Linked DNA regions of Caenorhabditis elegans. The protein of the gene in region 1 interacts with the protein of each later gene in a pairwise test. Each region holds a gene or a part of one and is shown on either strand. Other genes may lie near its edges.

Region 1 (7,108 bases):
GAAGAAAGCACGCATGCAAAATGCAATCTTTTGTGAGAAAAACTGTAAGAAGAGAAAAAAACCGAGATTCCGCGTAGAAGACAAATTAAAGTTACTTTTAAAGTTGATTAAGAAATTACAAATTTTGAATGAAAAACACTAGTTGAAAGCGGCAATAAAAGCTGACAAGCTATATCCCGAAAGATATTTTTGAGAAGTTTGGGTCAATATTTTGGCATAAAAATCAGAAAACATAACAGAGTAGTAAAGTGCCTCAGAATCAATACATAAAGAGAAAGTAGGAAGAAATGAATGCAAATTTTCCGAAAACACGAATGCACTGACTGCCGAAATTATGCGCAGAACAGGAGCAACTTTGGGATGAGAATAGATTGGACCAAAAAAAAGAGTATTTGAAAAAGTTACGCGTGGAGAAAAGAAAACAAATTCGACCTAACGTTTTGTTTAAGACACAGGCAACAAGATGATTTGGTGAGGGTGAGGGAAAGACGACGACAGCTAAAACGAGGATGTTAGAATAGTTTGTGTTTTCGCTTCAAATTGATCCTCTTCCATTCGGGCAGCTTATAAAATTCAATTAAGGACATCTTGAAGATCTCCTCAAATTGATCTCGCGGCAAGTGTCGTTCCAAATGTTGTCTACAAAAAAGGAAATGTCAGTTGAATGCTAACTTATTTTTTCATTACTCACCTGTCAACATCTTCTGGGAGGTCCGAATTTGTCGTTTGGAGAAACAGCAGGTCGTACTGCTTGGCAGGTTTGCTCATGTCAGGAAGAGAAGAGCGAAGCACAGCTCCACCAGCTGAGCGAGGTCCTCCAGCTGTTCCAGATTCCGTCGTCGAGTCTGAAAAAATTAAAGCAATTATTGTGACAACTACGGCAGTTTAAAAGTTCTTGAAATACTGTTTAAAGAAGTCTAAACGTTATTCTCTTAATTTGAGAAAAATTAATAACAGAGTAAGAATTTTGAATTTTTACGATACATTATCAAGGTTATCTGATTTCAATATTTTAATAATTCATGTTTGAGTGACCAACAAACAGTGTTTTTTAGATCAAAAATCGTTCCTTTTTCAAATATTGCAAAAATGTTTTGCAAGAGAGTCCATTTTTCATTTTACTGTTTTAAAACTATTTTCTTCACTTCCAACTTCTGTTTTCCAAATTTTCCCATGAAACTTTCACATACGTTCAGAATAGTGGCTGCTAATTGTGGTGTCCAAGTTCTCAAGCGACAAGTTTTGTCCGAATTCCGTCGGAAGTGTGGCGGCTCTGAGTGTATTCGCCCGGCTATCCTCTGGAATGTGGAAGCACGGCAGTGTATTGTTTCCCTGGTCTCTCTCGCCTCCTTGCCAAACAACCCATGGACGCGGACGATTGAGATGACGAGATGGCGCTGAAAAAATGAAAAAGGGCAATGAGTTTGCACTTGAGAAGAAGAAAAGGCGCACGAAAGGAGTATGTGTTGTGCTCTATAGCCAGCTACTGATTCAATTAGGAAAGCGCACAAAAACATACAAGCATTGATTGGGACGTCGTAACGGAATTTGAGATGTGGCATTTTCTTGCCAGATGGGGTTCTGCTTGCGTTTCTTGGATCCCAATGAAGTGGCAGCCTGCAACGTAATTAGTAATTATATGATAAAATATGCAATAAAATATAATACCTTTGCTTCTTATGACTGTCTTCGATGTTTTGCCTGATGACGTGAGCAATGGAAGAATCATTATACTTCTCCAAAGTTTCAACAGTCTTTCTCAACTTGTCCTCGTCAACCTTGTCGCTCTCCGAGTATTCATCGTCGGAAATCTCATTTTCAACCGATGATGTTGAGAGTCTTCTTTTGAGTTCTTCGACGGCATACGGGAATTGTGGAGCAGGGAAATCCTCTCGCTCGATAGCAGGAAGCTGAAAATATATTTCCTGCGTAATTAAAGTTTTGAAATTGAGTTTTGTTTCAACGGGAATATGTATTTTTCCCACATTTAAACATTTCTTCTTAAGTTTAAACATTTTTTTTTAATTTTTATTCTGCACAGTCTGAAAAAAGGATGCTTAATACTTTGATTTGGCGTCTACAATTTAGTGATTATAATTGAAATTCACAAACATTTACTTAGCTCTTGAATGACTAAAAAACGGTAAGTTTATATTGTTTAGTTTCAAATATCTTTCAAGTTTTAACGTATTTTTGTTTTGCAGTACATACCGTGTCTGGATCGGGCACATGTGCAGCTGGATAGTGAGCTAATTCAATTGGCTCCTCATTGTCCATGTGTGGAGATTTTGGACGTGGGATGTTCTTTTCCAAATCCTCCGCTGAAAATAAAATATTTTGTCTAATAAACGGGTATGTGGACTCACTAAGTCTTTGCATTCCAGTTTTGAGCATCGACATCCTTGACTTGCGAATCTTGATTGGTCCTTGTGGAACGTGGTATTGTGGAGCATTTGGCTCCTTGGCGTTCATCACTGGATGTCTCAAGTAGGTTTGTTCCACCTCTGGCAACAAGTACATGTATGCTTGATGCTGTCCAAACGTTGATTGATATTTTGGCTCATTTCGAGACAATGTGGCAGCACGTCCAGTTGGCTAAAAATTGATTTTTTTTAAAGTATAATGTAATTAAGAATTTATTCGAATGCTTTGAGAAAGCATCATCATCATCTTGACTTTCAATGTGATGAAATCGGATACTTTGGAAAAACAAAATGAAAAATGAAATTGCATACCGCGATATTTTCGGTGGTCCGCGCGTGCTCACAGGATGGATGCCAGATCTCGTCTCCTTGCATATACATCTCTTCACCGTCACCAAAATGAGATCCACATCGTGAACAGCGGGCACAAGTTGGATGGAATTTGTAGCCGCCAGCCTAAATAAAAGAAATTGACTGAATAGAATATTTTGGGAAGGTCAAAAGAAGAATAGACAACTTGTTTTGATCTTGGTGTTTTTTTTAACAAAAAAACTTTTCTCAACGTTTTGCAGGGGTACAACTTAACCTTGATTGCAAAAGTAACAAAAGTTTGGAACAGGAAGATCCAAAAGGTTTTTATAAATAGATTGATTAAAATACTTTCTTTTTTTCTGAAAATATATGTTGTTATGGTTTTTCGTAGACAATGTAGTGCTAAATTGTTTTGTTCACAAATCAACTTTGTTCGGTTTTACTTTTATTTTTTGTTATCAACCAAATACCCACCTGTAAGACTTTTCCAGCAATGAACTTTTCACACTCGTAACATTTGACACCGAATTTCTCGTTATAATCTCGAAGGCACAATGGTTTTCCGTGATGTGACATGTACTCTCCATGGAGAACTGCTGAGCACTCGCTGCATTTGAAACAGTACACGTGCCATGAAAGACCGAGAGCGAGAAGTACTTGACCCGAATGTAAAGCTTGGTCACAGGCGGCACACGCTGCAATATTAAGTGTTATACATAAGAAAGTTTCAAATTTCACTGCCACTCCGACAGCTCATTGCTTACTTGTTGGTGATCCGAGCGGAGAGATTTGCTGCAGCGTGGCATTAGCGGCTCCACTCGACGACACGTCCGTTGTACCATTTGATTTCTCCGGAGATTTGGGCGTCGCCGCACTTGAGGAAGACGCGTGTGCTTGTTGCGTCGTCGTCTTCACTGTTATCTCTTTGGATACGGCGCGAAAGTCGTCGGGACACAGATACGCATTTTCTGGTGTTGTGTAGAAGCCCGTCTCGCCTAGATTCCGACCACATTCTGAAAATAATAGATTTTAATAAACCTCGAAAAAAAGTTTTCAAAATGCCACAGAGGCGAACCGTAACGTCACCGTCACCCCTTTCAATTCACACTCATTAATTCACAATACCGCCTGACATCTGCTTGTCTTACGAAGTGGACACATTAGAGCCATCTGGCCGCGTGGCGCAATGGATAACGCGTCTGCCTACGGAGCAGAAGATTGTAGGTTCGAATCCTGCCGTGGTCGAAACTTTTATTTAACGAGCATTTATTCCAGAACGGTATATTTTATACATTCAAAATTGTTCACGTGTGATCGACTATTCCAAATCATAATAATTATTTCTTCATATTCTCAATCACCCGAAATAATTCTTCATTTTTGTTACACCTCATAGAGTTCAAGTTGAGTGTGCCATGAAACAAAATTTGTCTTTTAGCGCCCGGTAAATATTTACGCAACGACGAATCGATTTTAGGTAAACAGTGCGATAATAGTGTGTTTGCCATTTTGCAGGTGGAATTCGAACAGAACTTGAAACAAAAACCAATAAAGTCAGGTTAGATTTCAAATGTCAAAAACGTTTCGCTTCAAAATTTTCATTTTCACACTCCATCGAACAGGCACCATTTTCCAAAAATGGTGACGCAGAAATTCTTGTGTCATAGAGTTGCACATTTCAACTAATCCTTCTTAACAATCTATGATGGATGAACAATGGAGAAGCCTAACTTTCGAGGATTACAAGATTCTCTGCAAAGGCGGTGGTTCTCAGAAAACACACTTTTGTAAATGGGGTCATAAAAAGAAGACCAGTGTCCCCCGAAACAAAAGTGGCCAAGAAAAATATGTGTGTAATTGAATTGAAAGCGAAAATCGCAATTTAATTTTGTTTGTTTCTTGATTGGTAAATCTAACCTAAGAAACACTAAACAGCATAAACAGTAGGTTCCTTAATTTTTTCAAAGGTTGAACTTTTTTGGTTATTAGGTTTTGTGACAATGTTTCTTAGATTTTTATCAATGTTTAGCTTGGAACGTTCTTTTTCGTGTAAGTAGTAATGGATGCTATGCCCTGTTCAAACAGAAGTGAGATAACAACGAGAGTCTCGTGCTGTATTATGTAATAAACACACTGAAACATTTTCCCGTCTCTTCCACAAGAAAAAGCAAACATTTCGAAATGTCGGCACTTCATGGAAATTGAAAACATAACTTTGGATATCTAATCTTTATCATGGAAAAATTGTTTTGATTGAACTCACTTTTGCACTGAAAGCAGTTGATGTGAAAGTATTTGTCATTCGCTTTTAAGACGTCTCCTGAGCACTTTTTGCGACATACGTCGCATTTTTTGCCTAAAATCAAATGGTTTACTGATAATACAGGTCTGCTGAATTTCATTCTCCGCTTGTTTATTTTTTTCTCAAATATCTCAATGAAGATCTACCATCAAATCAATCAAGAAGACTGTCAATCTTCAATTTCCCTTTTTGATTTATTTGTTGCGGGAAGCATTGAAAAATTTGTTGCAAAATAGCTAGAACTTGGTAGCGAAAAAAGGAATAAAAAGAGGGCGACATTGCCCTCTCTTTTGTTGCAGTTTGTTTCTTTGTCTCATTGTAACTCTTTCTGAGTCATCGGTACCAAACTGAAAATCAACTATTATGAAATTTTTCCAGAAACCTCTTATTTTGACAAACAAGCAGAACGGAAGAAATAACAATATAGTCAAAGTATGGACATGGTGCAGGTCGATTTTGCTGCCCAGAAATTACTTCCGGTATATTAGCATGAAGCTAATATCTCAATCTAATACATCTAGAAACAAACATTGAAGCCCAATCATATTTATGTTTATCACATTTCGAATCGTTAACACTACAAAAAACCAAAACGAACCCATGGCAAAGTGGAGACGACGCGCAGTGCTTGCGAATAGTGGTGGTATAGAATAGCGGAGAGAGGTCTAAAGTAGAGCTGTCCGCCGCCTACCCCGGCACTACTGCATGAGGCGAGAGGGGGACGAGAGGAGCAGGGCGAGAGACGCAGACACATCCACACATACAACACTCGTCGCCGCCGCCATTCGTCAGAAGAGACATAGGGGCCCCCGGCAGCAGCGATCAATAAATGGCCCAGCTGCGCGCAACGCTCCCTCTCTCTTTCTCTCTTCTACTCCCAATTCACAATAAATGCATTCCGGCCTTCACTCTTCTTCCTCTCTGAACCACCACCACTACCACCAATGCCAAGGGAAAGCATTGGACGGAGGAAAAGGAAATGCGAAGAAGGAGGAAACCCGGGAAGAAGAGGACAAGAGAGGACATCACTTTTTGCGGGACCCCAATGTCTTCCAATTTAGATAGGATTGATGAGAAGAGTTTATTTTGAGTGGGTAAGAAAACATTTCTTTAGTGGGCATTGGTTTCGAGGAACTAGGAAGCACACCATGAATAATTTCAAGCATGTGAACGTCCAAAAGTTGCTGTCAAAAGTGGGACTGTTTTCACAGTGTAACTAATTTACAGTTTTATTGATGGAAAAATTACAAATACAGTTTTCGAATGTTTGCAATGTACTATAATCTCTTCTATAAAAACGTATTTTATTTTGAATGAGTTTATATAGAATGTTAGTTTAGTACACGCCACGCTTCAAGCATGTCCTGAACTAAATGTTTTATTCAGAAACTGAAGTTAATTCTTCAACTTCCAACGTTAAAAAAAACCAACCTTTATACTGAAAACTGACACGTTCGACGATGTATTGCAAAAGTAGAAATGAGACAATATTTCAGTCGTGCCTGCCTCCGGCGAGCATCTGGCCAAAAACAGACGGCCGAGTTGTAGAGATGTCACACTCTTAGCTAATCAACCGGTCCCGAGATGGCGAGCCAAAAAAAAACACTTAGAAATCTGAATACAACTTTCTGAAATGATGTTTTTTCTGTTCTGAAGATATGTTTTCCACATCATTGTTCTCGAAGTGAAGAGGGCATGTAAATGTTTAGATATGCTTCACTACATGCACTTCTCACGGTTCCAATTTGTGTACAAACGCGGAAAGATGAGAATGCGACAGATAATGTATAATGAAACGGGAAACATTTCACTCGAAAGTGACCTGTTTGTTGTTCCGCACTGTTCCGTTGCGAGAATTGATATGGATGAGAGTGTCCTTCTTGACATAATTATGCAAATTGGGAGCATCTTAATATAACTGTATTGAGATGAAAACAATTTTTACCATGACAATACTTAAACCTACAATAGCCACGCTAGAAGACTTCTTATTCTTGTGCTCTTCTGACAATTGGTACAAATGGTATACAATGCTTACTGGTTTTTGGCCCACATTCGTGTGAAAAACGGC
Region 2 (3,571 bases), on another chromosome or scaffold:
AACAATCTAGAAGTACCGCATGACAATACCAATTGAAAATTGTTAATTGTTAAAATGGGAGTCACATATAAAAGAAAAACTAGGACATTTGTAGTGAAAATGTACAGCTAGAAGGCATAACTTCTGCCACTCCCGTTCTTAATCAAAAATTAGCCTCGATTAGTGTCTTTATGAAAGTTTCGATTGTTCTGATCATCTACAACTGAAAAAAGGGTCCCATCCAGTCAGTTACCACCAATTGAATTACAAAGTGATAATGATGTCGTCGTGTGCCGATAACAACGTCTAATCTCTATTACTATCAGAGGTTGATTATAAACAATCAGGGGCACTAGACACAGGAAAGAAAAGGATGCAAAAGTTGTGAAGAAGGGAATCAAAGTCTGAGGGGGGGGGGGGCGATTAAACGGGCGGATAGTGAATGCGGCGGCCGCACACACACATAGGGACGGGCATTTGGAGGAATGTGACTAGGAACAACACAGAGGCGAAGAGGACAAGAAATAAATCGGACAGTCTGTGTAGAGGCAAGAAATTGGAGGAGGAAAAGGCGAGGGACGGTGCGGAAAAGCACCGCCAAACCACTGCGAACCGATCAATAATACAACGGAAGGTGCTGCGAAGAAATAAGAGAGGAACGGAAAGTTGAGACGCAGGTTGATTGGGTTAAAGATTGCACTGATTGCAGAGAAGACAGAGAATCGAGTGAAGATTGGCTCAGGAAAGAGTTGATTGTTGACATTCCCATTGGAAAAAAACAGATATCGAAAAAATGTCTAGGAGCAAAAAAATATTTTTCATTATGGGAATTGTTGTGATGTTATTGCTATTGCAAGGTTCTGTTGTTGTATTGAAAGTCAGCTAAAAAATGGGGAATTATTGAAAATATATTGTATTCAAAAATTCTTCAAAATAAAAATGACTTTTTTGAATGAAAAAAAAACTTTAAAATAGTGATGTTGGCATATCAACGTAAAATTTAAGATGAGAAGGTATTAAACATTATAAGGAAACAACTCGAAGATTTTCAAGCACATACCAAAGTTTTCACGGACAATTGGCCAATTTCTACAAGAAGTCAACATTTTTGTCGCTTCGTCAATTTGAAACCCATAAAAGCATGACTAAGCTGACAGGAATTCCACGAAAAAGCAATAGATATGCGCAAAGAACTAGTCTCGTCAGATTTTTCTGGCAATATCTCATGCAGTAATCTTAATATGTCTTGCACACATGCAACCCCGGATGCTGAAATGTTAAACTTTAAAATTCGAGCTCGACACGATGAATTTGAATGGATGGAGAATAATTAGAACTAAACCCACATTACATTGATTTTAATGTAAAAACTAAAGTATTTTTGCTTTTAAATGAGAAAATAATAATTTTTCGAAGAAATCAAACCAGTTTTCAGAAATATTAATTTTAAGGCTCAAATAAATGGCTCGCTAAACTCGAAAACAACTGTCACAATAAAAGCTAAACATAAATAATTGAATAAATAAATAAGTAAATTTAAAAAAGTGTCAAAAACTGCTTCATAGATGCAAATTTACAAGAAAAAGTTAATTTGTTCCGTAAATTCGTTAGTTGGCAAAGTGCCAGGTTAAAGGCGCATAGACTTTCGCTGTGGGGTCTCGCAGCGACTCACCCCTTCTCCTCTGCTGCTGGCTGGCTAGTTTGACGCGAATTTTTAGGACGATTTTTCCTTTTTTCTGTATTTTTCTGTTAAAGCAATGATTTTTTCAACATTTTCAACATTTAATAATTAAAGTGGCTATGTTTTTAACATAATTCGAACAAAATTATGGTTTTCGTTCGCTCTATTCTCCAAAATTTTCATTTTTTTATATGGAACATTTTTATTTTTAGCAGATCGAACGGGGTTACACAGATAGCAAAATGGTCCAAGAGCAAATGAAGCTTACCGGAACCCTCGAGGGTCACACCGGATGGGTTACCCAAATCGCCACCTACACCCGCAACGACAAGACCACTGTCCTGTCATCTTCCCGCGGTAAGTCAATTAATATAACGTTTTCAAATTTATACTCACATTTTTCAGACAAGACTATCCTTGTTTGGGATGTCGACAGCGTTGCTCCAGTCGATGAGGGACCAATCGGTCGCCCAGTTCGTTCGCTCACTGGACATAACCACTTCGTCTCTGACGTTGTCATCTCCTCCGACGGACAATTCGCTCTTTCTGGATCCTGGGACAAGACCCTCCGCCTCTGGGACCTCAACCAGTAAGTAATTCAATAAAAAAACATTGTGCAAACAATTTTATAGGGGAGTGAGCACCCGTCAATTCATCTCCCACACCAAGGATGTTCTCTCTGTTGCCTTCTCTGCTGACAACAGACAAATCGTCTCTGGATCCCGCGACAAGTCCATCAAGCTGTGGAACACTCTTGCCCAGTGCAAGTACACCATCACTGTACGTTTTTTCAAATTCTTTTATAGGAAGATTTATCGAAACTATTGTTTAGGATGATTGCCACACCGATTGGGTTTCCACCGTTCGTTTCTCTCCATCGAACCGCGATCCAGTGATCGTCTCCGCAGGATGGGACAAGGTTGTCAAGGTCTGGAACCTCGGAAACTGCCGTCTGAAGACCAACCACATCGGTCACACCGGATACGTCAACACCGTTACCGTCTCTCCAGATGGTTCCCTCTGTGCTTCCGGAGGCAAAGACGGACAAGCTATGCTTTGGGACCTCAACGAGGGCAAGCACTTGTACACCCTTCCAGGAAACGACGTCATCAACGCCATGTCCTTCTCTCCAAACAGATACTGGCTCTGCGCCGCTGTCGGATCTTCCATCAAGATCTGGGATCTCGAGGACAAGAAGGAGATCGAGGAGCTCAAGCCAGAAATCGCCAGCTCTGGAAGCTCAAGAGGATCCAGCCCACAGTGTATCTCTTTGGCCTGGTCTCAAGACGGACAAACCCTCTTCGCCGGATACACCGATAACATCATCCGAGTGTACCAGGTGTCGATCCGTGCTTCCAACTAATTTGTTACCTGTTAATTCAAAACCCTTCAATAAAATTGTTGATATAATTTTGTATTCAACCATGTCAGATAAATTATTCGCGTTAATCAAGAATATCTAGCAGATGATAAAACAGCAAGGTATACTTGTTATGTTAGAGATGACGGATCGTAATGAGTTGATCGGTGTTGCAATTCGAGTAGTGGCGGCGGCTGCAGTTTCATTTCTATCAGTGCGCTATCTAGTCAAGTACTTGGATCCAAATTATAGTGTGAATGAAGAAAGCAAAAAGAAGGTTTGTAGATTTACAACACTAATTTTGTTTTTTTAATATACAGGTGGCACAGCTGTTTCATGAACTTGGTATCGATCGTCAAATAGAACTCTCAGAGCACGAAATTAGAATCGCCACGCAGTTTGTTGGCGGAGAAGACGTTGGAGCAGATTGGGATGAGATCGGTAGAACAGAAAATTGTTTCGCAAAAAAAAAGAAAAATTTTACAGGTGGCTGCGAAGAACTTGTTGCTGAACTAAAGGATCGCATTATTTTACCCTTGAGATTCGCATCG

Evidence for each region.
Region 2: the proteins of unc-115 (region 1) and rack-1 interact in a two-hybrid assay, tested with the Caenorhabditis elegans proteins (one study listed by BioGRID).

Annotation. Positions count from the first base shown.
Region 1 is NC_003284.9:10,145,521-10,152,628, reverse strand, and holds unc-115 (Actin-binding lim zn-finger protein limatin involved in axon guidance), read right to left. Parts: upstream 5,138-7,108; coding exon 4,999-5,137; intron 3,981-4,998; exon of another isoform or gene 3,908-3,980; intron 3,749-3,907; coding exon 3,500-3,748; intron 3,431-3,499; coding exon 3,210-3,430; intron 2,880-3,209; coding exon 2,736-2,879; intron 2,596-2,735; coding exon 2,367-2,595; intron 2,322-2,366; coding exon 2,212-2,321; intron 2,150-2,211; exon of another isoform or gene 2,049-2,149; intron 1,911-2,048; coding exon 1,669-1,910; intron 1,618-1,668; coding exon 1,520-1,617; intron 1,398-1,519; coding exon 1,191-1,397; intron 846-1,190; coding exon 692-845; intron 640-691; coding exon 513-639; downstream 1-512.
Region 2 is NC_003282.8:10,174,808-10,178,378, forward strand, and holds rack-1 (Small ribosomal subunit protein RACK1), read left to right. Parts: upstream 1-1,872; 5' UTR 1,873-1,902; coding exon 1,903-2,017; intron 2,018-2,065; coding exon 2,066-2,249; intron 2,250-2,292; coding exon 2,293-2,440; intron 2,441-2,492; coding exon 2,493-3,023; 3' UTR 3,024-3,068; downstream 3,069-3,571. Other genes in the region: mspn-1 (Mitochondrial sorting homolog), read left to right, coding at 3,163-3,297, 3,341-3,461, 3,507-3,571.